Linked DNA regions of Schizosaccharomyces pombe. The protein of the gene in region 2 purifies or fractionates together with the protein of the main gene of each other region. This does not show direct contact. Each region holds a gene or a part of one and is shown on either strand. Other genes may lie near its edges.

Region 1 (18,022 bases), on a different chromosome or scaffold from region 2:
TGGAGTCGACATTTTCTTTTAAAAGCTTCAATAACTCATTTTTCCAAGCGAGGGACATGTTGGCAAACGATGAAATGGGATGCACGTATGAATCCTATATAAGTCACTTGTTTGACTGAAACGTCATTGACTTTGCTAAGTGTGTCGTACTAAAGGTCGCTCGCTATACAGAAATGATCTCTAGATATCTGTATAAGGCACAACTCTAAAGTTCGGCTAAACTTACTAACGAAATCGTGTGTGATTTCTGAAAAAGCAAATTGTACGTTATCGTGGATTACACTAATTTTTTAAAATATTCCTCTCTTCATCTGCTCAAGAGAATTGGTAAATAGTAAGAGTAAAATCATTTAATATTAGTGCACAGAGAAAGGAAAATAAGAAAATAAAGACAATAACTAGTAACTTAAAACAAAAAAATAAAACTTTTAACTAACAAAAATGGTTTCCCCTTCTAGATCTTCAAAGAACATTGCAATCCATATTCCGTTGTTCAGTACCTTAATCTGATTATTCACAGAACAATGAGCTGCCATCTAGTTTGCAAATTGATATAGAAAAGAGTATGCATTGTCTGTGTACAGGTTTCCAACATTGAAAAAGTGAGAAATGACAGCTTGCATATCCTAACAGATTTCTCTCACACCATTAGTGAGGATGCCTAGTCAATCAAAACCTGTACTTGATTTCAGCAAACTTCGTCCTCTTATCTTTAATTAACATAAGATTAGTCATCTAAAATTTCAACTTTGATACCGAAAAAAGCGGCCAACACCTTCTCGCATACCGGGGTTGAACATCGGAATGCCGAAATGCGATATCAATGAATACATTGTAACATCAGAGGATAAAAACAATGATAAAAATAATTTACAAATTAAATTGTCTCTGTCAGGCGTATCACTTGGATTATGACCATTTGCTTCACATTGCCTAGCAAACTAAGAAGGCAAGCGAGGTTTATGCCTAGTTTTTGCACATCTGTAGCTTCCGCATATTCAATTCATCCCGCATCATTCTAGAAAAACAAGGCGACGAAAAGCTGCACAACGGGTATGAAAATCCTAATAACGCTTCGCCTCCAAAGGAACGTCTATGAATCCGCAGGATCCTACTTGCCGCGCTAATTAACGAGGTATACTTGATTTCGCTGTTTCACACAAATCAATATTTCAATGTTCTCTTGTCTTTGCGGAATCGAACAAACTATACTTCGATTAACAAAAAAAAGAAGTTCGTTAATTTCATTTCATCGCAAACGTGTTTTCTTAGTTTTTATTCTCAAAAACGAACAATCTACAACGAAGAATTGTTTTCGATCTTTAACCCACAACAACAAAAACATTTAGTAAGTGACGCTAAAAGTCAGTTCGATCACACTTGAAAGTACACATATTAAACGCTGAATGAATCAAATCATAAATAATTATTGTATGTAATGACCATTTTAAGGTGTTTTCATTAATCCTTTAAATAATCTCTCTAAAGCGAGATAATGACAAAAGCAATCATAATTACAAAAAGCAAGAACAATATACTTAAAATTTTTGCAAGGTTTGTCAATCAATATTTGAAGTCCACCATAATTCACAACTCAGTAATGTACAAGGACGTGAAGGTTATCACCAAAATCATAAAAAATCCATCAACATCTCAAGTTGAATAATAAAAAAGGTAAACAAAGGAGAATCAGGTACATGTAATGATTAACATTAGGTTAAAGAAAATTTGAAAACACAGTTTAAAAACTTAGGAAAAACATAAAAAAACAACAACAAAGCAAATCAAACTCGAAAAAAAAAAAAATCTGTCGCCAATCGTGGGGATAAATGAGTGTTGAAGAGTAATTTGAATTAACCAAATTCAGCATCTTAAACGACCGGTTGTAAACATATTATCTAAGGTTTAAAGTCCTTCAACATTAGGGGATTGGGCTTGTGATAAACAATCACAATAGACAATTTCGTAAATAAACTAGATAAATAAAGGTATAAATACATGCCACGACCGTAAGAACGTAACAAACAAGAATTTTTTTTTTCGAGAAAGCAGCTTATTAAATACATAAAGTTTGATATCGAGAGCTTCAAAAATGTTCCGTAAAAAAAAACCGCAGGAAAACCCTGCCTGTTGCATATCTCAATATCAAAAAGGTAGACGAGGTAAAGCAAAAAATAGACTGTTTTTGATAGTTTTGGATAGGGGATACTCAACTAAATTGAGGACTTGTATTACTTCACTCTATTTGCTTTGATAGAGGGAAGCACTTCAAAGTACGGGAAAAGTGTGGGCGTCATAATAAATATAACTATTCAAACCGTAAAAGCTGGAAATTCATCACTAACTTCAAGTTATCGTAAATTTGGGAAAACTAGAAGACTTTGATAGACAACTGGTATAAATGTCATAAAAAGGGGGAAAGAAAGGCTAGGTACTTTGACATGTTGAGACTTTTATGTAGAAGAATTTTTTTCATAAAAGTCAAGTAAGTAAGCTCGAGCATCCTTATAAAAGTCGTTCACAACCGACAGAGATTTGCTAATCAAATCCAATGCAATTTCCTCGCTCGGTAATTTCATTACACCATCACGACTGCGTAGAGATCCGTAATTTTGGATACGTTCACAAACCTTTCTCATTTTTGTAAGGCCCAATACAGCTGAAGATCCTTTAAGGAAATGCCCCAACGAGGAAAGCTTCTTCAAATCCTTAGCCTCTAGGGCCTTTTGGAGGTCGGCAATGGTAGTCTCTGCCTGCTCAAAATAATTCCAAACAATACTCTTACTAAATTCATGCTCATCATCATCATCCATCTCAAGCAACTGGTCAAAAACGGAATGATCAATGAGCTGTTTGTCTTGGATGAGTTCATCCTCAAATGACATATCGTAAGCAATTACTGAAAGTTCATCCGACAAGACACCAGCCCCAACCAAAGCTTTGACTGAAGCAGCGGGAAGATTTTTGGCATTCGCATGGTCATCGCTAATAGAATTGGAGATGTCAACGGTCTCCTCCGTGCCTTCAGGTGCGCCAGCCGTCTCATTAGCAGCCAATTGTTGATTGTTTTCACTTTTGCTCGAAGATATACGTGACGTTAGAGCAACATAAGCAGGATTTGAGGTCAGTGGTAAAGAAGTGTCATTCGCTCCAGAACCATTCATAACCCGATAAGCATGGGGGATCGCTGACCCTGAAGGAGAGCGTGCACGTTCAGCTATGCCAGAATCGTGAAGAGTCTTAGCAAGACTAGCGTTACGCGCCTGTCCATTTCTTCGGGCGACACGATTTTCGAAGTTTCGGTCGTATTTCATATACATGTTATCACGATATACACTCATTTTTTAGAAAATAATTAAAAGAAAATCCAAAAAAAAAAGAAAAGGGTTTAAAGTAAGAGCGAATGGAGAAGCTCAGCTAAATTTTATCAGCAGTATTACTTTGCAAACAGTAAAATGTAGCAATCGATACAGAATATTGTATCAGATTTAAGACTTTCCTTTTTTAACAACGATTTGAAATTAAAGCGAGGAAATGTGAGTTATTGAAAGAGGCGTCGACAACACAAACAAATTATAAAAATAATGTGTGGTATGCCAGCAAAATGAAATAATCAACAGTTTCACTAACCTGTAGTACAGTACAAGGGCTATTACCAAAAGAAGAAAATGGCTTTACCACACAACCCACAAATACTAAATAGGATTTGTGGATAAATCTCCTTCAACAACGATTCTAATGGAAAAGAGTCAATACGGTTTTGGAGCTTTTTTTGCGTGTTCGAAACTTTGATGCCAAGTTTTAGACGCCACACAAACTTGCCTTCAGCTTCTGCTAAGTTCTAAAATTATCAAGCTCTACTAAAAAGGCGATATTATTGTTTTCGTATCAATTCAAAAGACAGAAAACCAATCCTCACAAGATTGTTAAGTGCTCTCTCTATAATTAAGTTCAAATGCAACAAGGGTAAGGCAGAGAGTAGAGACTATGGTTTTGCCTGTGCTTATGTCTGATTTTTAGATATTCTAATGTAGTAAATGGGAGACGGAAAGTAGGTAAATGCCGCGAAAGAATTGTTTGCAAAACTCACACTTGGGAGTGACGCCATGCAACGTAATAAAGCAGTCAAATGTACCGATACACAACCACCCAAAACGATAAAGTATATTAATATAATGACGCTACGTCTCACTATACCCCGAATTTCAATGATTCCTCCATATCAGTCAGTGTAGAAAAAAAAGACGAACTGGAGATGGAAGAACAGTTTCCCACCATCTTTGGCATTTTCGGCCATTTCCTAATAAGCGCAGCAATTCCTGATGGCTGTAGCATTGCACATTGGGAGGGAAGAATGATACTCTTTTTGCAGATATTTATTTCGATATCACTACATAGGGCCTATCCTAGTCATTGGAAAGGTGCCAATTTCCAGCGATATTCTCCTATTTTTAGAAATAATTAAAAGCTTTGCACAAATTTCATTCCTACCTCACTTATTTCGTACATCTCAGAAGTTTGATGAACTTGGGAAATCCCAACATATGACAAATGCAATGGGAAAGATAATTGATAGTTTTCCAACGAAAAAGTGGGATTTAATATGTATATGAGAGAGGATAGTAAAATGTGCCAAATTTTGGGTTAACTAGAGGCAATCTAAAGTATGAAGTAAGTGAACTACTAGACAAACATCTACAGAAACAAAGTATGGAAATAAATGAAGATAGACAAACGAAAAGCATACTATTTCGAAAACGAATCAATATTTAGTCAATTTTTAGATCCAAAATCCATTCATTTAAAAACAGACCATGCCATCTATTTGGAAGCAAAACTGTAGTTATTCACCTCAAAGCGAAAGTATAAGGAAAAAAAAATAAGCCGAGACAATTAGGTTACTAAATACGTCTTCTCATGGTTTCGGAGAAATGAAAAGGGAAAAAAAATTAAATGTATACAAATATATGTATATGTATATGTGTGTTTGAGTCTGTCTATATGTATGTATAATAAAATAAAAACAGAAAGAAGAACAAAAAAGATTCAGAACAAAGAATCAATCAAAAATCCATCTGTCTATATAATAAACCAAAATCTTTTCACTTCAATTTCACCACCGACTAATTCGAAGTAACGGCATTGATAGCTTCGGCAAAGTATCTTACATTGGAAGTGTTGAGACCGGAGATGCTAATACGACCATTCTTAGTGAGGTAAATGTGATACTGTTTAGCCAAAACATCAACTTGCTGGGGATTTAAACCAGTATAACAAAACATACCAATTTGGTCAGTGATATGCTTCCAGCTGTGTTTATTCTTAAGGTCCTTTTCAAGGATGTTGCGAAGAGCCTTACGCATACTCTTAAGACGTTCGGACATGCCTACAACTTCACCAGCCCACTGTTCACGAAGTGCAGGGTTGCTCAATATATGGTTGGCAATTCTGGCCCCATTGACGGGAGGGTTGGAATACAAAGCACGAATGAGAATCTTAGTTTGGCTTTCGATACGAGCGGCTTCCTCAGCATCGTTGGCTAAAATGCTAAAGCAGCCAGCACGTTCACCATATAGACCCATGTTTTTAGCAAAGGATTGGCAGAGTAACATGGGGACATTGCTGGAGGCGAACAGACGAGTGGCATAAGCATCACGAGCAAAATCACCACTGGCAAATCCTTGGTAAGCCATGTCTAAAAGAGCAAAATGGTTTTTCTTTTGCATTGTTTTGAGGATATCATCCCACTGAGCTTTCGTAGGATCTACACCAGTTGGATTGTGAGCACAAGCATGCAATAATATAATAGAGCCATCAGGAGCTGAAGTTAAATCGGACAACATGCCTTTAATGTCCAACCCACGAGTAGCAGGATCATAATACTTGTAGGACTTAACGGTCAAGCCAGCTCGAGAAAATACATTCTTGTGATTTCCCCAAGTAGGGTCAGATACGTAAATAGTCTTTGATGGATAAAATGAAGCAAGGAAATTAGCTGCTATACACAAGGCACCGGTACCACTAATGGATTGAGCAGAAACCAGCCTATCCTTTATAGACTCGTAAACATCGCCATAAGCCAATTTTGTTGCTTGCACACGGAAACTGGGAATTCCTGTGATGGGTGCATATTCTTTGTCGAGTTTCTGACTCAACAGCTCAGTTTCTGCCTGACGAACACTGGGCAGAACATAAGGCTTTCCGGCATCATCACGATATGTACCAGCACCCAAGTTCATTTTCTTAACATCTCCATCCTTTTTATAGGCCTCTGTAATACCAAAGATGGGATCCGGTGGTCCCATAGGTACATCTGCCCAAACCTTGAATCCACGCTTGCTCTGACTTGCCAAGCATTTTACTCCATGGTAGGAAACGTTGGTTTTTAACGATGCAAATGTATTTGGATGCAAACAACGCAAATTCCTGGCCAACATCGTCGAAATCAATATTCTTCCCAAAGTTATTTCTGGGAGATTGGTTAAAGGCTCTTCACAGGCTCGCAATCAATCGAATCCTGCTAATATATATACGTTCTTATCATGAGAAAACCACGTGGTTCAATGTATCTGCTTACCGATCGATAACATAATCCGAAGCTGTAAGATGTCAAAATTAGATAACGACGTTTATTGTTTCTTTCGTTATCGTTCACTTGTAGAGCTGTTCCGAAAAAACATTAAAGTAGCATAGCGAAAGCTATAGTTTTGTAATCGCAACGTAGTTTAGCAACTAGTAAACAGTAACTCGTTAATTACCAATATTTATCGTAAGTAATTAAGGTAGTTAATAAATTAACATTAACAACAATAAAAATTGTAAAATAGCTGTTAGACTTGTAGAAAATATTTTTCAATAACAAGAAGTCATTCAATAATCATAACTTGAATAAGTCAATTTAGACCTTCGAACACTGTTTAAGTCATCAGACTGTCTTTAGTAGCTGCTTCTATAGCTTTCACTGTTGTTGCTGTAAAAGGTTGCAGAAGTAAGTTATAGAACAATAATTCTATTCATATGGAGGACTTTTATTAAGAAAAAAAACGAAATGAAGCCTACAGCACCCCGGATTCCCATGTTGTCTCCAACCATAGTACTAACGAGGCCCTCAGACGCTTAACTGCAGTGATCGGACGGGAACTGGTGTTTTCGCCTAGGTATGGCCGTAGACACCTAGTAAAATACTTTATAGCTTATATAATTTTATGCTATGTAATTTTGAGAGGAATGTGTGTTGTTTGAATTGGGATAAATATTCTTTAGCAATGATTCCTAAGTAAAAGATAGATGCAAGGTTAAATCACTTTAGCAAAGTCTATGTTCTAACAAGAAACACGACGAATGCACGAAAAGAGATCCGTACTCCTTTTAATAAAAATCGATGGCAATTGTTTAACCTTTTTTAAACCATTATTACTTCTACAACACTTTATATTGAGGAAAATTTACTTAAAGTGAGGTCTCTTGAAATGGAATGGTTGATTCACGCGTTGGTAACAGTAGATACATTTTCGTGTTCGAAATGTAAACAACTCAAGAAAATTAGGATGTGTTTTTACCATACACTATTCAAAAATTACAATATCGCAATACTATGTTACGCAATATGTTAGAGTGCCTTGAGCCACCGGTTGCTTGCATAGTGTCGTGGTGGAAAACGAGTGAAGCTAGATATTACCAATACCAGATCACTTTCACTGAGAGTATCGATCCAAAAAATGGTAAGTATTTGAGTATTTTGAGGCTGAAAACAAGACTGAATTAAATGTAATTTTTTCATCTATCGCTGAATAGTCTTGTTTTCACTCTATCACATTCTTTTCATGTTTTAATATTTAATCCTAACTCTCCTATAGGGACAAGCACAATCTGGGAATTTTTCTAATTTCGGCGATGGTGCCAACGGCGACAATAAAAAAGACCAAAAGAAAGATAAGCCCAAATACGAACCTCCAGTTCCCACTCGAACTGGTCGTCGTAAGAAGAAGGCTCAAAGTGGTCCTGATGCATCGGCAAAACTACCTACTGTTATCCCAACGACTCGTTGTCGTTTAAGGTTGTTAAAAATGCAAAGAATCCACGATCATTTGCTTATGGAAGAAGAGTATGTGCAAAACCAGGAACGTCTTAAGCCACAGGATGAACGAACTCAGGAAGAACGCAATCGTGTAGATGAAATTCGTGGTACTCCAATGTCTGTAGGAACTTTAGAGGAAATTATAGACGACGATCATGCCATCGTTTCCACAGCTGGACCAGAGTACTATGTTTCCATCATGTCATTTGTCGATAAAGACATGTTAGAGCCTGGTTGCAGTGTACTTCTCCATCACAAAGCCATGAGTATAGTAGGCTTACTTCTTGATGATACCGATCCAATGATTAATGTTATGAAACTCGACAAAGCACCTACAGAAAGTTATGCCGATATTGGTGGTCTTGAATCTCAAATTCAAGAGATCAAAGAGGCTGTAGAGCTTCCTCTTACCCATCCTGAACTCTATGAGGAAATGGGCATAAAACCCCCTAAAGGTGTCATTTTATATGGTGCTCCCGGTACTGGTAAAACTTTACTAGCGAAAGCTGTTGCTAATCAAACTTCTGCTACGTTCTTGCGTGTCGTTGGTTCTGAACTTATTCAAAAATATTTAGGTGATGGTCCCCGTCTTGTGAGACAATTATTTAATGCTGCCGAAGAACATTCGCCCTCTATTGTTTTTATTGATGAAATTGATGCTATAGGTACAAAGCGTTACGATGCCCAGTCGGGTGCTGAACGAGAAATTCAACGTACTATGCTTGAGTTACTCAATCAGTTGGATGGATTCGATACGAGTCAGCGTGATATTAAGGTTATTATGGCTACTAACCGTATCAGCGATCTTGATCCGGCTCTTATTCGTCCAGGTCGTATTGACCGCAAAATTCTTTTCGAGAATCCTGATGAAGCTACGAAACGTAAAATTTTTACCATTCACACTTCCAAGATGAATTTGGGCGAGGATGTTAATTTAGAAGAGTTAATTCAATGCAAAGATGATTTATCTGGTGCAGAAATTAAAGCAATCGTTTCTGAAGCTGGTTTGCTTGCTCTGCGTGAACGCCGAATGCGAGTTGTTATGGACGACTTTCGGCAAGCTCGTGAAAAGGTTTTAAAAACGAAGGACGAAGGTGGACCTGCTGGTGGTCTTTATATCTAAGTCCAACTTTGGTTATGACTAGTTTTACTCGCATAATGGCAATACTTCTTTTTATCCATACTTGCCATTGACTAAATAATTTCCAGTTCCTGTTTAGTTTCTACGAATATCTGTATTTCCATCTTCACTATTATTATTTAATCCTGTAGAGAAGTATTGTATGCATGATTATTAAGTTATCATTAAGTTTTATAGAGTAACTATAGATGTCCATAAAATTTATTATATCATCATACGTATTTTATTAACTTCGTGCATTCCTTGTCGGTTTAAATTTTGGATTTTTTAAAAAAAAGAGCGTAAAATAAGCAAAGCAAACAAAACGTGTCCATAGAAAATACCTCTCCGATACCTCTTTTTTTTTATTTTCTTCAATCGATCGCATTCACAATTTCAGTGACACAGTTTTCTGATTATATTAAGAAATTTAATTCTAACGTGTGCAACAAAACGCCTTTATAATACACAAAAGACGTAAACTAATCAATCAAATAATTACTTTTTCACCGGTTTACACATAGTGTGATATTCAACAGGCTTTAATGCACGGACTGTATCCTTAAATATAGAAAGAGGACAGATCGTATCATTGCCTTTGTATCCTTGACCTCGACATGCACCCATCACTACAGGGGTTGAATTGTAGGTAATTCGGACATACCAATCAGACATATCTCTAGCAGAATTAGACGCAGCAACGATAGCACTATTGCTGGCATCTGTAGACTCATCGGAAAACAACTTCAAATCTGTCGTCTTATTATCGCCGCTTTGATTTTGGGAATCGGATTTGCTTGATGTATCTTCGAATAGTTCCATTTCAAGATGTGATGTAAAGGGTGGCCAGCGATAGTCAAATGCGTCCAAAGATGCTAAAATGGCAGCTATTGTAACATCATGTGCGCCATAGAGGGCCAAACGATGATAGGGTGAACCATTCTTTTCAGCGACCACGAAGTTCTCCATTCTCATGCTTAAATCATTTAACAAGCTTCCAGCACCTAATTGACGCATCAACTTAGAAACCTTATAACCGCCAAACCATTCTTCTACAACAGCAGTTTCGGCATCGCGTAACCATTGTTCATCTCTTAGGTTGGGATTGAAGTCGACATGGCTACCAATGGCAGCGTTAATAGTATCAAGCAAACCACTGAGACGAGGATGGCTTGAAACAACTCTAACAGGCTGACCATTCATGAATTGACTCATCATTTCAGAGGCACGGCCTGCAAGTAAGGGATCGTAAAGCTTAGCAGCTCGTTCTGCAAATTCTTCATATAGTTGCACAAGTCGAGGACAGTTGTTTTCATTAGGAAGTAGGTTTTCGTCTGACCAATTTCTCGTAAAAATGACAGGTAAACCCATCTTACGCTTTGACTCAGGATACAATCCGGAAAAAACATGTTCTAAAGACTCCAAGGCTCGCACCATTGGAGTCGCACGCATATAAACATCAGCGTAGTTATTCAATTCATCAGGTAAGAATTTCAATTGTTTGACATAACGTTCTCGAAGATACTCACCAAGTGTTCTGGTAGTAACACGCCCAAAATCAGTCAATTCACCATGAATGCAAACACCACTTGGGGAATTGTCTGAAGTTGGTGCTGCAAGAGACGTGTCAACTGGTGACTCAACCTTCCTTTCAAAACCCAACACAGACCATTCCTTTTCCCCTTTAATTTGCGCAAAAAACCTCCTTGCATTATTACAAAGCTTCCAATCCTTAGGGATACCGGCGGAACCAAGTCTTTCCTTCACGGGAGCACGTTCACCATGTCGAAATATGACTTGTAAATATTTCAGTTGCAGCTGTTTTGGATAATCGACTCCGGGAACTGAATCCGGGAATTTAACAGAAGCTGAAGACATTTGAGACATGGCGGCTAGGAAGTGGTTGATGATGCTGGATAAGAGCTGCTGTCAACTAAGGTCTCAATGCTTGAACATCATCGCAAAGCTCATATAAAATATGAATTACTGAATATTAACGAAACGACACTATTTGAAAATTAGTTTTGTTTATGAAAAGAAAACAATAAAATATAAAGTTAATTCAATCTTAAAAAACTGTTAGGAAAAAATTAAAATGAAAGTCATTATGAGATATAACAAAAAAAAAATACCCAGACAGGGTTTCTCTTTAGCTTTCTCAATCAAAAATAAAAGATAAAAGACGCAACCACCAAAACTATAGATAGGTTTAAAAATTTTAATGAGTGCAGTTAAAATAGGAGAGACAAGAAAGCTAGAAGTTCAATATATTAATTATTGTTCAAATATACATACAAATTTGTCATCATCATTAAAATCATGTATACCAACAAGCCCCAGTAAGCCTCTCAAATTAACCATCTCTGTTAAGAAAATCAATTAAACCATTTTTGATAGAGAAATGATTACGTTTAACCATAAGCACATAGAAAATATCTCTGGTTTCACCAGTATAAACAGCGTTTCACAAAAAGCATCACCAGATTAAGTATAACCTACATGTTTTGACGTTAAATTATACGCCAAAAAAGAAGGGAATTCAAAAAAGTTATTAACGCTACCGTAAATTTTTACTGATTCGAGATCGCTCCAAGAAAAAATTTGATATATCTTCCTTGGTGACAACCCTATTTTCACGAGCAAATGGAGTGAGGAAGTCCGTTAGCTCAGATTTTAAGCGATTATACGCATAAACGCTTTCGTTAGCTTGTACACGAGGAAGTCTGTCCAAAATACGAAGGACATCATTCATTGTGCTAGATATGACTTGCTCAATCATTTCTCCAGATTCACTGGGATCCTCATTCATCTCACTGATTCCATCCTCAGAATCCTCAGGAGGTTCGTAAATAGGTTCTTCTGCCACCAACATTGGCATCTCCAAATTACGCAAACTGATGCAAGATTCACAAGGGCACAAATTTTCCCTAAAGTTTTCTGAAAGAAATAGAGGCGCTCGTTCTGTACCAGCTATGCTTTCATGCTTCTGGTTTAAAAGATGATCGCGGTATTTTTCTGAACATTCTGAACACACCAACCATTCAAAAGTCTCAGCATCTGGGATTGCAATTCCTTTATTAGTTTTCTGCAGACACTTTTCGTGAAACCAATCTTCGCAAAGGATGCATTGAAACATAGTTCCTTCCTCTGTCTCTGGATTATACACCGTATCACATATGCAAAATCGCCCTTCGAAATTATGATTATAATCATTTTCTGAGCCACATTCATCAACGGATTTCCGTAAATTACAAGGTATGGAGTGGGTTCTTGTGGTGCCACAATCACATCGAAAATGTCGTTTATTGAATAGGTCCACAAGATCATGGTCAGCATGGCAGCTAATACTGCAGCTATAGCAAACAGCATTTAAGCTTCCGCTAGCTTTTTGACATGTCAAACAAGCGTATAAAGGTTGCTTCAAATAGCCCATCGAATAAGTGCACGTGTCAAAGCTGTAAGGCAAAACTTCTCGTGCCTCCCTTTCAAGCTCCCTTTGCTGTTCAACATATTGCTTAACCGTTAATTCATGAGCCGTTTCCTCCATAAGTTATTAAATGCAACTAAACGTTGGCAAATAGACGGCGTAAACAATTGCGAAGAATGTCTTTTGAATAATTCAAAACACTAACTCATTACGCTCCTCTATTTCATTTACAGGTATCACTACATTTTCCAATACAATTTAACAATATACTGTAGCATTTCTTATTCTTTCATCCTGCAATACTCTAGCTATTCAATGCATTAAAATAGTTAGAAACAACATCTTTAAAGTATTTGAGTCCAAAGATGGATTCTTTTCGGAAAAGGGGTCGCCGCGATTCTGAAAGTTTACCTTTTGAATCAGAAAATTCTTCTCTCGGTGCTACACCTCTTTCTTTACCTCCTTCTTCACCTCCTCCAGAATTCTCTGATGAAGCTGCAGAAGCTCTCGTGGAGGAGGATATTGAGGATCTGGACGGAGAAGCTTTAGATGTAGAGGATGAAGAAGGTGAAGATTTGTTCGGAGAAGGAATGGAACGGTAAGTTTTATAGCTATGCTTGAGACGTGTCTTGTCAATGTTGTGTATACTAAGTGTTGCCATCAATATATAAATTACATACTATTTCTTCTCCTTCTTGTAAATAAATATATTTATTGGATTCCTAGGTTGCGGTTATATTGACAGAACAAATCTTGATTTTCAAAAGAGTAGTTTCACATTTCGCGTCAAATAAGGTACTTTTTTCTAACTGTATAGTGATTATCAACAAAATTTGGAGCTAGATCGTTATGACATTGAAGAACTAGATGACGATAACGATCTTGAAGAATTAGATATCGGGGCCCGAAGAGCTGTTGATGCCAGGTTGAGACGACGTGATATTGAGCTCGATGCTGCTGCAGGTAGAACAAAACCTGCTGCATTTTTACAAGATGAAGATGATGATTTGGACTCCAATCTTGGCACAGGCTTCACTCGTCATCGACATCGAATTTACGACGAATATTCACCTAATGTTGGCGCATTGGACGAATCTGGTGAACTTCCTCTTGAATCAATTGCCGACGTAAAGGCCGATAGTATTGCCGAATGGGTTACTCTTGATCCTGTTCGGCGTACAATTGCTCGAGAATTCAAAAATTTCCTTCTTGAATATACAGATGAAAATGGCACCTCTGTATACGGTAACCGTATTCGCACATTGGGTGAGGTTAATGCTGAGTCGTTGATGGTTAATTATGCCCATCTTGGTGAATCTAAACCCATTTTGGCTTATTTCTTGGCCAATGCGCCTGCACCTATTTTTCGCATATTTGATCGTGTTGCTTTGGAAGCCACTCTTTTGCATTATCCAGACTATGAAAGAATACACTCTGATATTCATGTTCGTATCACTAATCTTCCTACTTGTTTTACTTTACGCGATCTACGACAATCCCATCTTAATTGCCTTGTACGGGTATCTGGTGTCGTAACTAGGCGCACTGGGCTTTTTCCACAATTAAAATACATTCGGTTTACATGTACCAAATGTGGTGCTACTTTGGGTCCATTTTTTCAAGACTCTAGCGTTGAAGTAAAAATTTCTTTCTGTCACAACTGTTCCAGCCGTGGTCCGTTTGTAATCAACTCTGAACGGACTGTATATAATAACTATCAAAGGATCACTTTACAAGAATCACCTGGCACCGTCCCCTCAGGTAGACTGCCTCGACACCGTGAAGTTATTCTTTTAGCGGACTTGGTTGATGTTGCCAAACCAGGCGAAGAGATTGATGTTACTGGCATATACCGCAATAACTTCGATGCTAGTCTGAATACCAAAAACGGGTTTCCTGTCTTCGCTACAATTATAGAAGCAAATCACATATCGCAACTTGACGGCAGTGGTAATACTGATGATGATTTCTCTTTAAGTCGGCTTACTGATGATGAGGAAAGGGAAATTCGGGCATTAGCAAAGTCGCCTGATATTCACAACAGAATTATTGCATCGATGGCGCCTTCTATTTATGGACATCGCTCTATCAAAACTGCTATTGCTGCTGCTTTATTCGGTGGTGTCCCCAAAAATATTAACGGTAAGCATAAAATTAGAGGTGATATCAATGTTTTATTGTTGGGAGATCCAGGAACCGCCAAATCTCAATTTCTTAAGTATGTTGAAAAAACGGCACATAGGGCTGTCTTCGCCACAGGTCAGGGTGCCAGTGCTGTTGGTCTAACTGCATCCGTCCGTAAAGACCCCATTACGAATGAATGGACTTTGGAAGGGGGTGCTTTGGTTTTAGCAGATAAAGGTGTTTGTTTGATTGACGAGTTCGATAAAATGAATGATCAGGATCGTACTTCTATTCACGAAGCCATGGAACAACAAAGTATTTCTATTTCTAAGGCGGGTATTGTGACTACCTTGCAGGCGAGGTGCACTATTATTGCTGCCGCTAATCCCATCGGTGGACGTTATAACACTACAATTCCTTTTAATCAAAATGTTGAGCTGACCGAACCTATTTTATCTCGTTTTGACATCCTTCAGGTCGTCAAAGACACGGTTAATCCTGAAATTGATGAACAGCTAGCTAATTTTGTTGTATCAAGTCATATTCGATCTCATCCTGCATTTGATCCGAATATGGATGTCTTGAAGAAAGTCCCTACTGAGACTGGTATTGATGCCAAACCCATTCCCCAAGATCTTCTTCGTAAATATATCCATTTCGCTCGTGAAAAAGTTTTTCCTCGATTACAGCAAATGGATGAAGAAAAGATTTCGAGACTTTATAGCGATATGAGACGCGAGTCACTGGCTACTGGAAGTTATCCTATTACTGTGCGTCATCTGGAGTCTGCTATCCGTTTAAGTGAAGCATTTGCAAAAATGCAGCTCAGTGAGTTTGTGCGCCCTTCACATATAGACAAAGCCATTCAAGTGATTATTGATTCCTTTGTGAATGCCCAAAAAATGAGTGTTAAACGAAGTTTGTCAAGAACATTTGCTAAATATCTTATTTAATTTTTTGACACAATCAGTTTATGGAGTCCAGTGATTTTGATTTCCCCGTTCTTTGACCCTCCTTTTGTTACTGCATCTGTTGCATATATCTATCCTTTAATAATTTGCAATCAAAATTTGCTTTACATTTTTATACCTATCTTTACATTCATTCTTTCTTAGTTTTCAAAATGTCAATCTAAATTATTTAGGTTAATAACACTTGTTTTGAATATCATTATTGACTATTCGCTATAGATACTAGGTGTATAGATACTTTCTCCGCTGTATCAATATTATTAGCTGTTTCATTAAAGAGCCACTGCCCATGTGAAATGACATTTTTTGAAACAGCTGAGGTTTTTTACATATAGAGCTAAATTGTCCATTTCCAAATTTAAAGGGAAGTCAACTTTTGACAATCGGAAATGCATCCAGTTCATATCTGATGTTCCTGAAGAATCTCAAATTTCACACTTTATTATCTAAAATTATTTATATCGTGTTACTCTTTCAAATCAGTCTTTTTATTTGGTATATATTTTGCCCTACCCTTACCTACTTATATTCGTACATCCACCAAGTAAACTTGACACAAAAACAAAATGGCCTATCCCGGGCAGTTTGGAAATTACGGTAATCCTGAGACTTATAGGCAAAATGTTGCTGGCAATATTGCTTCATATGGGGGCCCTGAAATTGACACTCAGTTAGCTGCTCAAATGAACGCACAAATGTATATACAGCAAGGTAGTGCAATGGCTCCACAACCCCGACGCGCTAGAAGACATAAAGATGCCCATGCATATGATATGTCATTGACAGATGCTGAACCAGCTTTGGCTCCTGTCATGTCGCCTGCTATCCCGCCTTCCATGAATTATCCTACGCCAAGTACACCCTCAGTACTTCCAGAATCTTTTTCTAATGATACAAATCTCCTCGATCCTGCAGCATTACCTTCGGCTCCTGAAGTTCGCTATGAAGATCAGCAATTGTTTAAAAACCAAATATTCAATACCATGGAAAAGGGTTCTCCACCTATGTCCACTACAGATTTTGTTGGGTATGAACAAGGAAATTCATCTTCCAAATTCGTTCAGTTTACCAGTTACGCGATTCCAGCTACCAATGATGTTTGCAATGCTTCCGGAATCCCCTTGGGAATGATTGTTCAACCGTTCGCAGAGTTACGTCCTGATGAAGCACCCGTACCCGTTGTAGATAACACAAATTCAAATCCCCCACGTTGCAAAAAATGTCGTGGCTACATCAATCCTTTTATCCAATTCACGATGGCAAGTAGTAAATGGACTTGCAATCTTTGCGGTTCAGAAAATAGTTTTAATGATGATGGTTTTAATCCTTTAGTCGGTAGTCAGCATGATGGAGTGGAGTCTCGTCCAGAATTAAATGTTGGCACTATTGATTTTAAAGTGGGGAAGGACTATTGGATAAAGGAGGATCCGCCAAAGCCGGCTCGCTTTGTTTTTATGATTGATGTTTCCTATGAAGCTTCCTCCAAAGGACTTCCCAAGGTTGCAGCTGAAGCTATTCGGAATATTCTCTACGGACCGGTACCTCTTGATCCTAATGTCAAAATTGCTATTGTCTGCTTTGATCGAAGCGTTAATTTCTTCAATTTATCTCCTAATTTAGAGCAACCCCATATGTTAGCTGCTTCTGATTTAGAGAATCCCTTTGTTCCATTTTCTTCCGGTCTTTTTGTTGATCCCATTGCTTCAAAAGTTGTCATTGAGAGATTGCTGGACAGTTTCCCTGCAATTTTTCAAGATGTTAAAATTCCCGAACCAGTCGTTGGCAATGCACTGGAAGTAGTAAAACTCCTTCTTAAGGAAACAGGTGGAAAAGCTTTTGTTTTTGTTAGTGCTCTTCCTACGATGGGATTGGGGAAATTAAGGCATCGTGAAGATCAAAGATTATATGGGACTTCTGATGAAAAGAATCTTTGGAACACCCAAGACAAGTGGTATACATCTCTTGCCGATGAATATGTTACTGCTGGTATAGGTGTTGATATTTTCTTTACTGCTACTGCTTATGTTGATGTTGCTACTGTTGGAAGTGTTGCGACCTTAAGTGGTGGGCAGATTTACCACTATAGTAATTTTGTTGCTGATCGTGATGGATCTCGACTTAAACAAGATTTATTTAGAAGTGTTACCAGAGAGCAAGGCTATCGAGTGATGTTGAAGACACGATGCTCAAATGGTCTGCGTGTCTCCAAATATTTAGGCAACTTCTTGCAACGAACTCCACAAGATATCGAATTTGGCAGTCTTGATGCTGATAAAAGTGTAACAGTTCTGTTTTCCTATGAT
Region 2 (10,301 bases):
TGAAGGTAGTTTGAGATGCTCACTCTTGAAGCTAGATTAACATCCAGTAACCAATGGTAAGGTATTAGTTGTAAATTTGTAATCCAAACATGGATGCAACTAAAATTACCAATAAACGCTGCTAATGATAATATAGCAGAATAAATGAGAATGAGACATATAAAAATCTGTTTAAATAAAGAGCATGCGCTACGAATATGGAACAAAAGCAAAAGTGCTGACTAACTTAGCATTCGTAAATGTGTCTCTAGTTTAGTCCGCCATGACAACGTTACTATTGTCAGCAAGCTTGGAAGCTACACTCTGTTTTGGCTGTCCAATATTCACCGCAGCTTCTGCTTCTTCTTGTGTATACGGCTCTTCACGCAAATTTTTTAACCTTCGTTTGTGAACCTTTCCCTTCTTATGCACCAGCAATGCTTGAGACGAGTCAAAGTACCGTGCACATTCAATGCAATAATGTTGACCTAAACCTGGCAAATCCGGATCTATAGGTAATTTATCAAATTTCTCAGACTCTGTTAAGTCATTGTGAATCTGATCTAAGTCTCTATTTGTCCAATTGTTAATTTACCAAACGATGATTGAATGACCATGAAATTTGCATACCTCCCATAAACACGAGTTCTAAACAAAGCATGATTTCCATTGCTATGATGCTTTCTTTTTCTGGCAACTCTTCCCATTGTCCGTCACTTCAAACAAACCCGTTTACCACAATTACAATGTTAGTTGCAAAGGATAAACTTTTTTAAGCGTAAACACATTCAATATCCAAACGGCGTAATGTGTGCTATATCGTATAGTGAAAAATAATTCTCAAATAATCTTATTTTCCTATCGTAGTTTGCGATAAGTTTAATAACGAGAAGGAAAGCCTCGTTATATAGTTGAAAAGCAAGAGAAATGTATTAGATATGTATTATTGATTGTTCTGAATAGCTCAAGTAGCGTAAATTTTTTAATAAATAAATATTCGTTCAAAATTTGGGAGAGCATGGTCAAAGCAAGTTGAAATGCATGCCTTTGAAATTGCGCTTTTTAAGCGACGATTGCTCCATCGTTTGACAAAACTTTGTAATTTAAGGGATGTTTAGCATCGGAATTTATTAGGGAAAATTGCTTTAGGCGTGATTCTTAGTACATGGCAACTATAGAAGAAATGAATTAACATTCAGTAGCTTTCTGGCTTTAACTGCCACTATTTCATCAAAGTCTCGACAAGTTGACGTTTAGTCGAAGGAAAGAAAGTATTCACGTAGCGAGATCAGAGTCCGCTTATCAGCAAGGAAAAAATTGAGCTCTCCATTTAGACTGCTATACTGAAGTGTGAGCAATTTTAGTGACATTTAGTTTTACAAAAGGAGCTTGATTGCTCGAACTCAAAAGATTCAATTAACCACGAAGGGGTTCTTGGCAGTGAGGTTGTAATTATTTCTTTTTTATTTTATCTTTATTTGACTTTTGTTTTTTCCCAAAGAATAATTGCAATGTTCAATTAGTTTTGAATTTGAAAAACCTCATATGGGTAAAAAATCACTCGGTCGAAAAAGACAGTAAAAATTTATTAGTTAATTTCGTAAGATGGGGCGCGAATTAAAGAAAGTTGCTAGTTATCATGTAATAACATAATTGAAACCCTCGATTCGACAAGTATGCAGACAGCAAAACGAATGCACGTACTAAACAAATAGTAAGCCATTTTTTGTAAAATGAAAATGTGAATCAATAAACAAATAACTTTGCCTATCTCAATTCAAACGTGTTTTTTTAAAATATATCTATCGATTTGTAATAGGCAAATTGTTTATTGCAGCTATCTCCAAGCTTGCTTAATCACATGTTCAAAGATGCAAAGCCCAGCATATCCGTGTAGCATATGTTTTCATTCAAAAAAGTAATAATATCCTAAAAACATATTTAAAACAAGCTATCAATTTTAATTTTTTCCCTATAAACAAACGTATGCTATATGAACATGTGTACCTAAATTTTTTTCGACCAAGATTTATAGACTCTATGTTTGAAAGAGATCTTTTTGTCCATATCGATAAACTAAGACTGCTTGAAGGGCAGATGCTGACATCTGCAGAGCAGGAAAAGAAGTATGCGTACTTCGTAAAGACTTGAGTACTGAACGTAGGGTCGATATATCTTCTCCATTCAAAAGCTCAGGAAGTTTATAACAAAAGCAAAAAATCCATTGACTCTAGAAAAATGTTAGCAAATTTTAGAATGAACAAAAATACACCAGCAAAGTAGCATGAGATCCTTGTTACCAACCTGTAAATCAATTGCGTCCTTTTCAAGCCAGCTGGACAAGCTTTCTAGGATCTCCAAAACAGTTGCCAAATCAACCACTGCTAATATGGCCCAACAAGGAGCTTTATGCTCAATATATACACGCCATTGTTGTAAATTTTTAGGTAAAATAGATGCGTCCAATGAAGAAGATTCCATATATTGCTCAAGCCTTTCCCCTTCTTTATCAATTATGTTTAGTAAGTATCGTAAAAACGGGTCAAAGCTTTTTTTGCCGGCCTCGATTTCCAATTTGCGAAGAGGAATGGTTTCTCTTGTTTCAGGCTCACGACGCGCCGCTACAAATGGAACTAGCTTGCGAGCTTCTTCTCTGAACTTGTCAGTAAAAAGCCCAATTATTGTTACAATGATTAGATTAAAGCATTCATGTTGCAAATTTCGATTTTCACAAAAATTCATATATAAATGTTCGTACCTCACAGTTGCTAAATAATCTAAACCATCAAGTGGTATATCATATTCCAAAGATTCTGAAGCACTATTGTTGTCGATTTGTGGAAAAGCGCTGCGTTGATTTGTTTCCTCATCTAATGATCCTGAAGTCTGATATTGTAAAGGATTTCTTTTTCTTTTCGAGGGCATTTTGAATTATTATTGTACAATTGCAAACTTCTCATATAAACCAAATGGAAAAGAATTACCGAATTTTCATGAAAATACTCAAGGAATGTAGGCTGTTTTTTTCCGGCAACTTTTCGTTTGTAGTTAGTTAACAAGGAATGTTTCGTAAATCGAAGATTACCCTAGTATAATAGAATGGTAAGGTTAAAGAGGTATCTGTAGAACTATCAATGTGAAGAGTCTATCTTGATCAAGTGTAATGCTAAAACTAATTTTAGCTATTTCTTGATAATTCCTTTACTATCATAAAATTTATTACTTGTTCTTATTTTCAAAGAAGTTCAAAGTTTTGCATTTTTTTGAAGTGTATAAGAAGCTAAAACTGGGAGAATATTCACTCAGACAGAATTGCCTATCCTTGAACTAATTTAATAAACATAAAACATATAGATATGTAGGAAATTGTACTATTCATTCTTCTGTCAACGCAAGTAACACCATCTGCGGCCACTTAATCAGGCACTTACTCTACACAATATACAGATCAGTGCTTTATCCCCAAATCCCATTGTTCATTGGTGAATTGGTGTTTTGAGCAGCACATATGCCCATTCTAACATGCAGATATAAAATTCTGTTTCTTTATAATTTACGGAATTGCTTTACTTTTCAAAATCAGCGATGTCTCATACCATATGGAACAACCACTACCATTAGGTGGTATAATGCAAATTTTCAAGCTGTTCAAAACAACTTTTCTGATTATAAAAACGAATTGATCTCTTCACATCGTCCAGAAGCTTCCAGTTTACTCGACTTTTTGGTAAAGGATCAAAAGAAAAGTGGTGATATTAGTTTGCATACAAAATTTAATCTATATGTGGACGATTTATTGAAAAAGAGCGAAAAAGGACAAATTAAAAAATTTATTAATGATATTAAAAAAGATTTGGCTACGGAATCTCAGCTTCCATTGTCTGCGCCATTCAAAGATGAATCTACTCGGACTATGACAGATCCCCAAGTTTTAGCTTATATTCATCAGTCTATGCCGTATCAATATGCTTCTCTATACAGCGTATTGACTGACTTGAAAATTGTAAACAGTGATGTGTCTTGCAAGTCTCAACATATACTGGATTGCGGTAAAGGTCCAGGTATTGGTGCTCTAGCTAGTTATTCAGTCTTTCCCACACCTAATTCAGTTTCAATTGTTGAGGAGAACCCATTTTTGAAAAAAATCATATATGATATTCACCATAACATTTACCCGTCAACTTCGCCGAATCCAACTAGCCCTGTTACGCTTAACCGTCTACCATTGGGTAAAAAGGATTCATACACTCTAGTTATTGCATCTAACAAGCTTCTTGAAATGAAATCGGAGAAAGAACTCTTTGATTATCTTCGTTCGCTTTGGAGTCTCGTGTCAAATGATGGTGGTCTTTTGGTGCTCTGCGAGCGAGGCACAAAGCGTGGCTTTAGTTTGATTCAAAGAGCTAGAACATTTCTATTGCAAAAAAGTAAAAATACTTCTGATAAACAATTCAATGCCCATATTGTAGCACCCTGTCCCCACGATGGTCGCTGCCCCATTGATATAGAAAATGGGGTAAGAGCAAATATTTGTTCTTTCAAACAACATTTTTTCCTATCCCCATTTTCCCGTCTATATGTCCCTCGTTCTCATCGTCGATCCTCGGATCGCTCTCATTACAGTTATGTTGTTATTCAAAAGGGTATAACTAGACCGCTTAATAATACCACACAAAGGTTCAAGAATGATGAGGATTTACTAGAAAATGTGAATGTTACATCTCCAACTCTTAAAAACTGGCCACGTATAATTCGACCTCCACTGAAGCGAGATGGACATGTCATAATTGATGTCTGTGATAGCGATGCTCGGCTTAGAAGGAATATTGTTCCTAAATCACAAGGTAAACTAGCTTATCGATTAGCTAGGAAAAGTGCTTGGGGCGACTTGTTTCCGTTAGAGGGCAAAGTTCAAAGTACTTCTCCAAGTAGTAAAATTACTAAACATTTAAAAGATGCTTCTTCTACCTATTCAATCAATCCCCCCTCATATAATAAACCCAAAGTTGAAAGAAATACAACTGCAGATCCTATTTTTGTCGGAAAACGATTCTATTCGACTAATCGTCATAAAGCTTTTTCTCGATTTGCAGACTTTAATTCACATCGTTTCCCTTGTATTTTTACTTCATTTAGCTGTTACAATTGCATCTCTGGTACCAGGAATATTTCACGACAATATTCGAGAGATAAATTCCACTATAATCAAAGGACCACTATCTATTATCTGGTTGCAATTTCCATTTTTGCGTTGGGCTTGACATATGCGGCTGTACCTTTATATCGTCTTTTCTGTTCGAAAACAGGTTATGGTGGCACTCTTAATACCGACCAAAGTCGTATGAATGCAGAAAGAATGGTTCCTCGTAAAGACAATAAAAGAATCAGAGTTACTTTCAATGGCGACGTTGCAGGAAACCTTAGCTGGAAGCTTTGGCCCCAGCAGCGTGAAATATATGTTCTTCCAGGCGAGACTGCTCTAGGGTTTTATACTGCTGAAAATACGTCCGACCATGACATAGTAGGAGTTGCAACTTATAATATAGTACCAGGTCAAGCCGCTGTTTACTTCTCAAAGGTTGCATGCTTTTGCTTTGAAGAGCAAAAGCTAGATGCTCATGAAAAAGTAGACTTGCCTGTGTTTTTCTTTATAGATCCAGAATTTGCTGATGATCCAAATATGAAGGATATTGACGATATTCTTCTAAGCTATACTTTTTTTGAGGCCAGATATGATACCAATGGCAATCTTTTAACTAAACTCAACTGAAATAAAAATTAAGGGACTACATATTGAGTGAACTACAATAATTTATTTAAAATAATTCATCAAGTTAACCTTCTAGTTACGAGACAAATAACAACGAAAATCACTACAAACTTACTAGAATAACTTTCTCCGAGGTTGCAATTCGACATTAAAACTATTGTATTCTCGTAAAAAAAGTTGAAGGCCTTTGAACCAATAGTATATTATTTAAATGACAAAGTCATGAAAGTAACGAAATGAAATAGAGACGGAACAATTTATTTGGCTACCGCCTGTTGAATAGAATTCATCATTTCTTCTTTTATAATAAGCTGTCTTACCTTTTCCAATTTTCCAAGAAGTTCAGTAATATTGGAACCCCACTCATTCAATTGCTCTTGCACATTTTGAGATTTCTTGAATGAAATGACTTGAGCTGGGCGATCAATCTTGGCATAGAAATGATGCTTTGCAATAAGGTCGCAAAGAAATTGTTCTGTTTCGGAAGGACTCATATCCAACAACACTCCTAGACGACTGCAATGAATGCGGGAATAATAGTTTGCGACTACACGAATATTGTGTTCGATGACTCGCTTACGAAGTTCAGACCAACGTTTCTCACCTTTTTCGTCATTTTCAGCAAAAACAGGATTACTCCTTAAAGCACTTCCATAGATTTCGGCAATTTTGGGCCATCTCATTAGTTCATTGACAATAAAGCACTTAACCAATTGTTGGAGTAAAGGAAGAGAATTTAGTTTATGGTCAGCATTAATTCGGTGAAGAAGATCTGCCTGCTCGTTATCATAAGGAGTAAGCAAGGCAAAGCAAACGACATTTTCTAATATTTCTTTCCATTTCTCGGGGTCCTCTTGAACCACGGCGGTGTCATAAACTGCTCGATAATATTTACAAACATCAAGATATGCATCGTCGTGCAAACCAATTCGGATTTTTTGCTCATAATACTTAAGTTTTAAAGACTGGACGTCTTCCTTTTCAAAAAACTTAACATTTATTTTCTTCGTGTAAGTAGATGCCATGTAGTAATCAGACCTCAGTAAGAATAATCTAACTTGATCCAAAATGAATGCAACTTTTTCCTTCAAATCAAAAGATCCGTAAGTCTCTACTGGTTCATTACACAAGATCTCCTGGGCAGATTTGATGTCACCTTGCTCTTCTTTAATCTGGGAAAGCAGTTGTGTAAGACGTGCCCTTTCTACTTCCACATATATCTTTCCATCAGTAATAGTACGCAATGTTTCAATCAAATTAATTTTTGTTTTTAAATCGTCAATTCCAGGAAGATAGGTCATTACATGTTGGACTAAACTTGTCATCGATTGTTTCAGTTGGCCATGCTTTTTAAAGAGACTAACCAACTGTTCGTTTAAGCCTTGGAAATCACCAGCTCGAAAGAGCAAATCAGCAATGTATATTAATACTTTCGTATTCGTGCTGGTGTCAGAAGCCTGACGAACTTGCTTCTCAAAAATCAAAAGCTTCTCGAGGTTCGCATCCTACAATTACAAGTTAGAGATTAGTCAAAATTTTGATTTTTACGTACGATGTCTATGGTATTAAGGTTATTTAAACTTTTTTGTAACTCTGCAAACTTCTCTGAGTAATCAACTTCCGGTTTCTGTTCCATTTCGATATGTGGGTTGTTGGAGAGTGTACAATTGAGACTAATATTGCGAGTTGATTTCTTATGATTACAGAGTTGTACCGCACGCTCGCAAAATACTTTAGTTGTCAGCAATACTACTCTACGCTATGATACACTACGTTGCGTATCACTATATGTCATATGTTGGAATACTAGCTAAGATCCGTTTATTGATAATCACGGGTAACGATCCGTCTATATACATAGATACCCGTTGATAACGCGAATGAGCCGTTCGGCTTCTTAGTTCGTAGATCCGAGATTTCGAACTGCTTTTAGGCAGTAAATGATAGCTTTTCCATCTAACTGACTCTAAAATCACACTCCCTTGTTACTGGACCCACATTAGCGATAGCGGATACAAAAATGCAGGGAATTGAAAGACCGAGTTCGTGGCCTATTGAGAGAAAATGGAACTTCCCTTCCCAAAAGCACCTTTGACCTGCAGAAAAATTAGGCCAATTATTATGATGCCAAGTCTGGAAAAACACCACAGGTTCGGTATATTATTATTGTCAATATTGTTATACTGAGTTAGTTTTTTTTTTTTTTTTTTTTTTTTTTTTTTTTTTTAATACCAAAGTTTCGTATGCCTATAGCATTAATCTAGATCTAGCTTGCGTCATATAAGGACCAGATTTACTCTTGACCGACTTCATAGCAGCATAATTAGCATCTCCTCGGCATAAAAGAAAAAATTTTGCTATCTCCACTCTCACAAGGTTAGCGAAGGTTTGTGCATTTGACAGCAGGTTGGTTAAATTCGTTAAGCTTCCAAGAGATATAAATATAGTGGCTCGAATTTGACTTATCCAGTCAGTCATTCATTGCTGAAGTTGTTGGGTTGGCCAGGTCCATCGGTAAGTTTTTGTTTTGTAGGATGACTGTATAGTTTGGCTTTTTGTTGTGTAGTGCCAGTTTGTTTGCGATGAGGATCAACGTTGCAATCTGTTGGTAGAAAGTTGCCCCTCGAAAATCTTGGAAATTTGGATTTGTATGCATCTTTTCTTGTTGATTTCTAAGTTGATCACTATTTGTTTGTTCTATTTTTGTTTTCTTTTACTTGTTTGCTACACAAAATAAGCTTATTTGTTGCTGCACTAGACTTTTTGTTTGATTTCTCATCCTACTTCTGTATCGGCAGTTTGCCTCATTTACTAAGACTAGCAACAGCCAGTCATTCATTTTTTACACTCTCTATCATTTTTTATTTTCATCACGATAACTAACATGTGCGATTAGACTCACAGATAAATTGCTAGCAATTGGTTGTCTCTTTCCTTCCTCCGTCTTTTCCTTTTTGTTCCTTTTTCTCCTTATATTATATTATATTATATTCATTCTTCATTTTCTCTCTTGGCCACTATTTTTTTTTTTAATTCCCCTTTATCTCTCGATTCGACATGGGTGAACTCAAGGAAATCTTGAAACAGAGGTATCATGAGTTGCTTGACTGGAATGTCAAAGCCCCTCATGTCCCTCTCAGTCAACGACTGAAGCATTTTACATGGTCTTGGTTTGCATGTACTATGGCAACTGGTGGTGTTGGTTTGATTATTGGTTCTTTCCCCTTTCGATTTTATGGTCTTAATACAATTGGCAAAATTGTTTATATTCTTCAAATCTTTTTGTTTTCTCTCTTTGGATCATGCATGCTTTTTCGCTTTATTAAATATCCTTCAACTATCAAGGATTCCTGGAACCATCATTTGGAAAAGCTTTTCATTGCTACTTGTCTTCTTTCAATATCCACGTTCATCGACATGCTTGCCATATACGCCTATCCTGATACCGGCGAGTGGATGGTGTGGGTCATTCGAATCCTTTATTACATTTACGTTGCAGTATCCTTTATATACTGCGTAATGGCTTTTTTTACAATTTTCAACAACCATGTATATACCATTGAAACCGCATCTCCTGCTTGGATTCTTCCTATTTTCCCTCCTATGATTTGTGGTGTCATTGCTGGCGCCGTCAATTCTACACAACCCGCTCATCAATTAAAAAATATGGTTATCTTTGGTATCCTCTTTCAAGGACTTGGTTTTTGGGTTTATCTTTTACTGTTTGCCGTCAATGTCTTACGGTTTTTTACTGTAGGCCTGGCAAAACCCCAAGATCGACCTGGTATGTTTATGTTTGTCGGTCCACCAGCTTTCTCAGGTTTGGCCTTAATTAATATTGCGCGTGGTGCTATGGGCAGTCGCCCTTATATTTTTGTTGGCGCCAACTCATCCGAGTATCTTGGTTTTGTTTCTACCTTTATGGCTATTTTTATTTGGGGTCTTGCTGCTTGGTGTTACTGTCTCGCCATGGTTAGCTTTTTAGCGGGCTTTTTCACTCGAGCCCCTCTCAAGTTTGCTTGTGGATGGTTTGCATTCATTTTCCCCAACGTGGGTTTTGTTAATTGTACCATTGAGATAGGTAAAATGATAGATTCCAAAGCTTTCCAAATGTTTGGACATATCATTGGGGTCATTCTTTGTATTCAGTGGATCCTCCTAATGTATTTAATGGTCCGTGCGTTTCTCGTCAATGATCTTTGCTATCCTGGCAAAGACGAAGATGCCCATCCTCCACCAAAACCAAATACAGGTGTCCTTAACCCTACCTTCCCACCTGAAAAAGCACCTGCATCTTTGGAAAAAGTCGATACACATGTCACATCTACTGGTGGTGAATCGGATCCTCCTAGTAGTGAACATGAAAGCGTTTAAGCTTGTATGCTTTTCCTTAATTTTTCTATAAATCTGTGTGCCCTGCTCTTAATACCATTATAGATTAATCATTTTGAATCATTCTGTATCTTTATTGTACTACTGGTACTAATTTTGCTTAGACATTTTTGCTCCTTCTTCTTCTTTTTGTTTAAATTATACATACCAAAATTTTGGA

What was found.
Region 1: the proteins of rpn502 (region 2) and rpt2 purify together in Schizosaccharomyces pombe (affinity purification with western blotting, with the first as the bait; one study listed by BioGRID). This does not show direct contact.

Annotation. Positions count from the first base shown.
Region 1 is NC_003423.3:1,189,076-1,207,097, reverse strand, and holds rpt2 (19S proteasome base subcomplex ATPase subunit Rpt2), read left to right. Parts: upstream 1-7,669; 5' UTR 7,670-7,718; coding exon 7,719-7,721; exon of another isoform or gene 7,722-7,722; intron 7,723-7,856; coding exon 7,857-9,200; 3' UTR 9,201-9,320; downstream 9,321-18,022. Other genes in the region: SPOM_SPBC725.03 (pyridoxamine 5'-phosphate oxidase), read right to left, coding at 1-58; histidine-containing response regulator phosphotransferase Mpr1, read right to left, coding at 2,454-3,341; aspartate aminotransferase Maa1, read right to left, coding at 5,124-6,437; SPOM_SPBC4.06 (acid phosphatase), read right to left, coding at 9,696-11,084; ubiquitin protein ligase E3 component mlo2, read right to left, coding at 11,755-12,744; MCM complex subunit Mcm2, read left to right, coding at 12,990-13,222, 13,442-15,701; COPII-coated vesicle-associated protein Sfb3, read left to right, coding at 16,286-18,022. UniProt on the Schizosaccharomyces pombe protein: The 26S proteasome is involved in the ATP-dependent degradation of ubiquitinated proteins. The regulatory (or ATPase) complex confers ATP dependency and substrate specificity to the 26S complex.
Region 2 is NC_003424.3:4,903,491-4,913,791, forward strand, and holds rpn502 (19S proteasome regulatory subunit Rpn502), read right to left. Parts: upstream 7,386-10,301; coding exon 7,302-7,385; intron 7,255-7,301; coding exon 6,007-7,254; 3' UTR 5,877-6,006; downstream 1-5,876. Other genes in the region: bud20 (zinc finger ribosome biogenesis protein), read right to left, coding at 253-550, 610-686; yip11 (SMN complex subunit Yip11/Gem2), read right to left, coding at 2,018-2,209, 2,284-2,632, 2,738-2,904; rsm22-cox11 tandem protein cox1102, read left to right, coding at 3,488-5,749; plasma membrane malate/succinate:proton symporter Mae1, read left to right, coding at 8,807-10,123. UniProt on the Schizosaccharomyces pombe protein: Acts as a regulatory subunit of the 26S proteasome which is involved in the ATP-dependent degradation of ubiquitinated proteins. Required for proper proteasome assembly.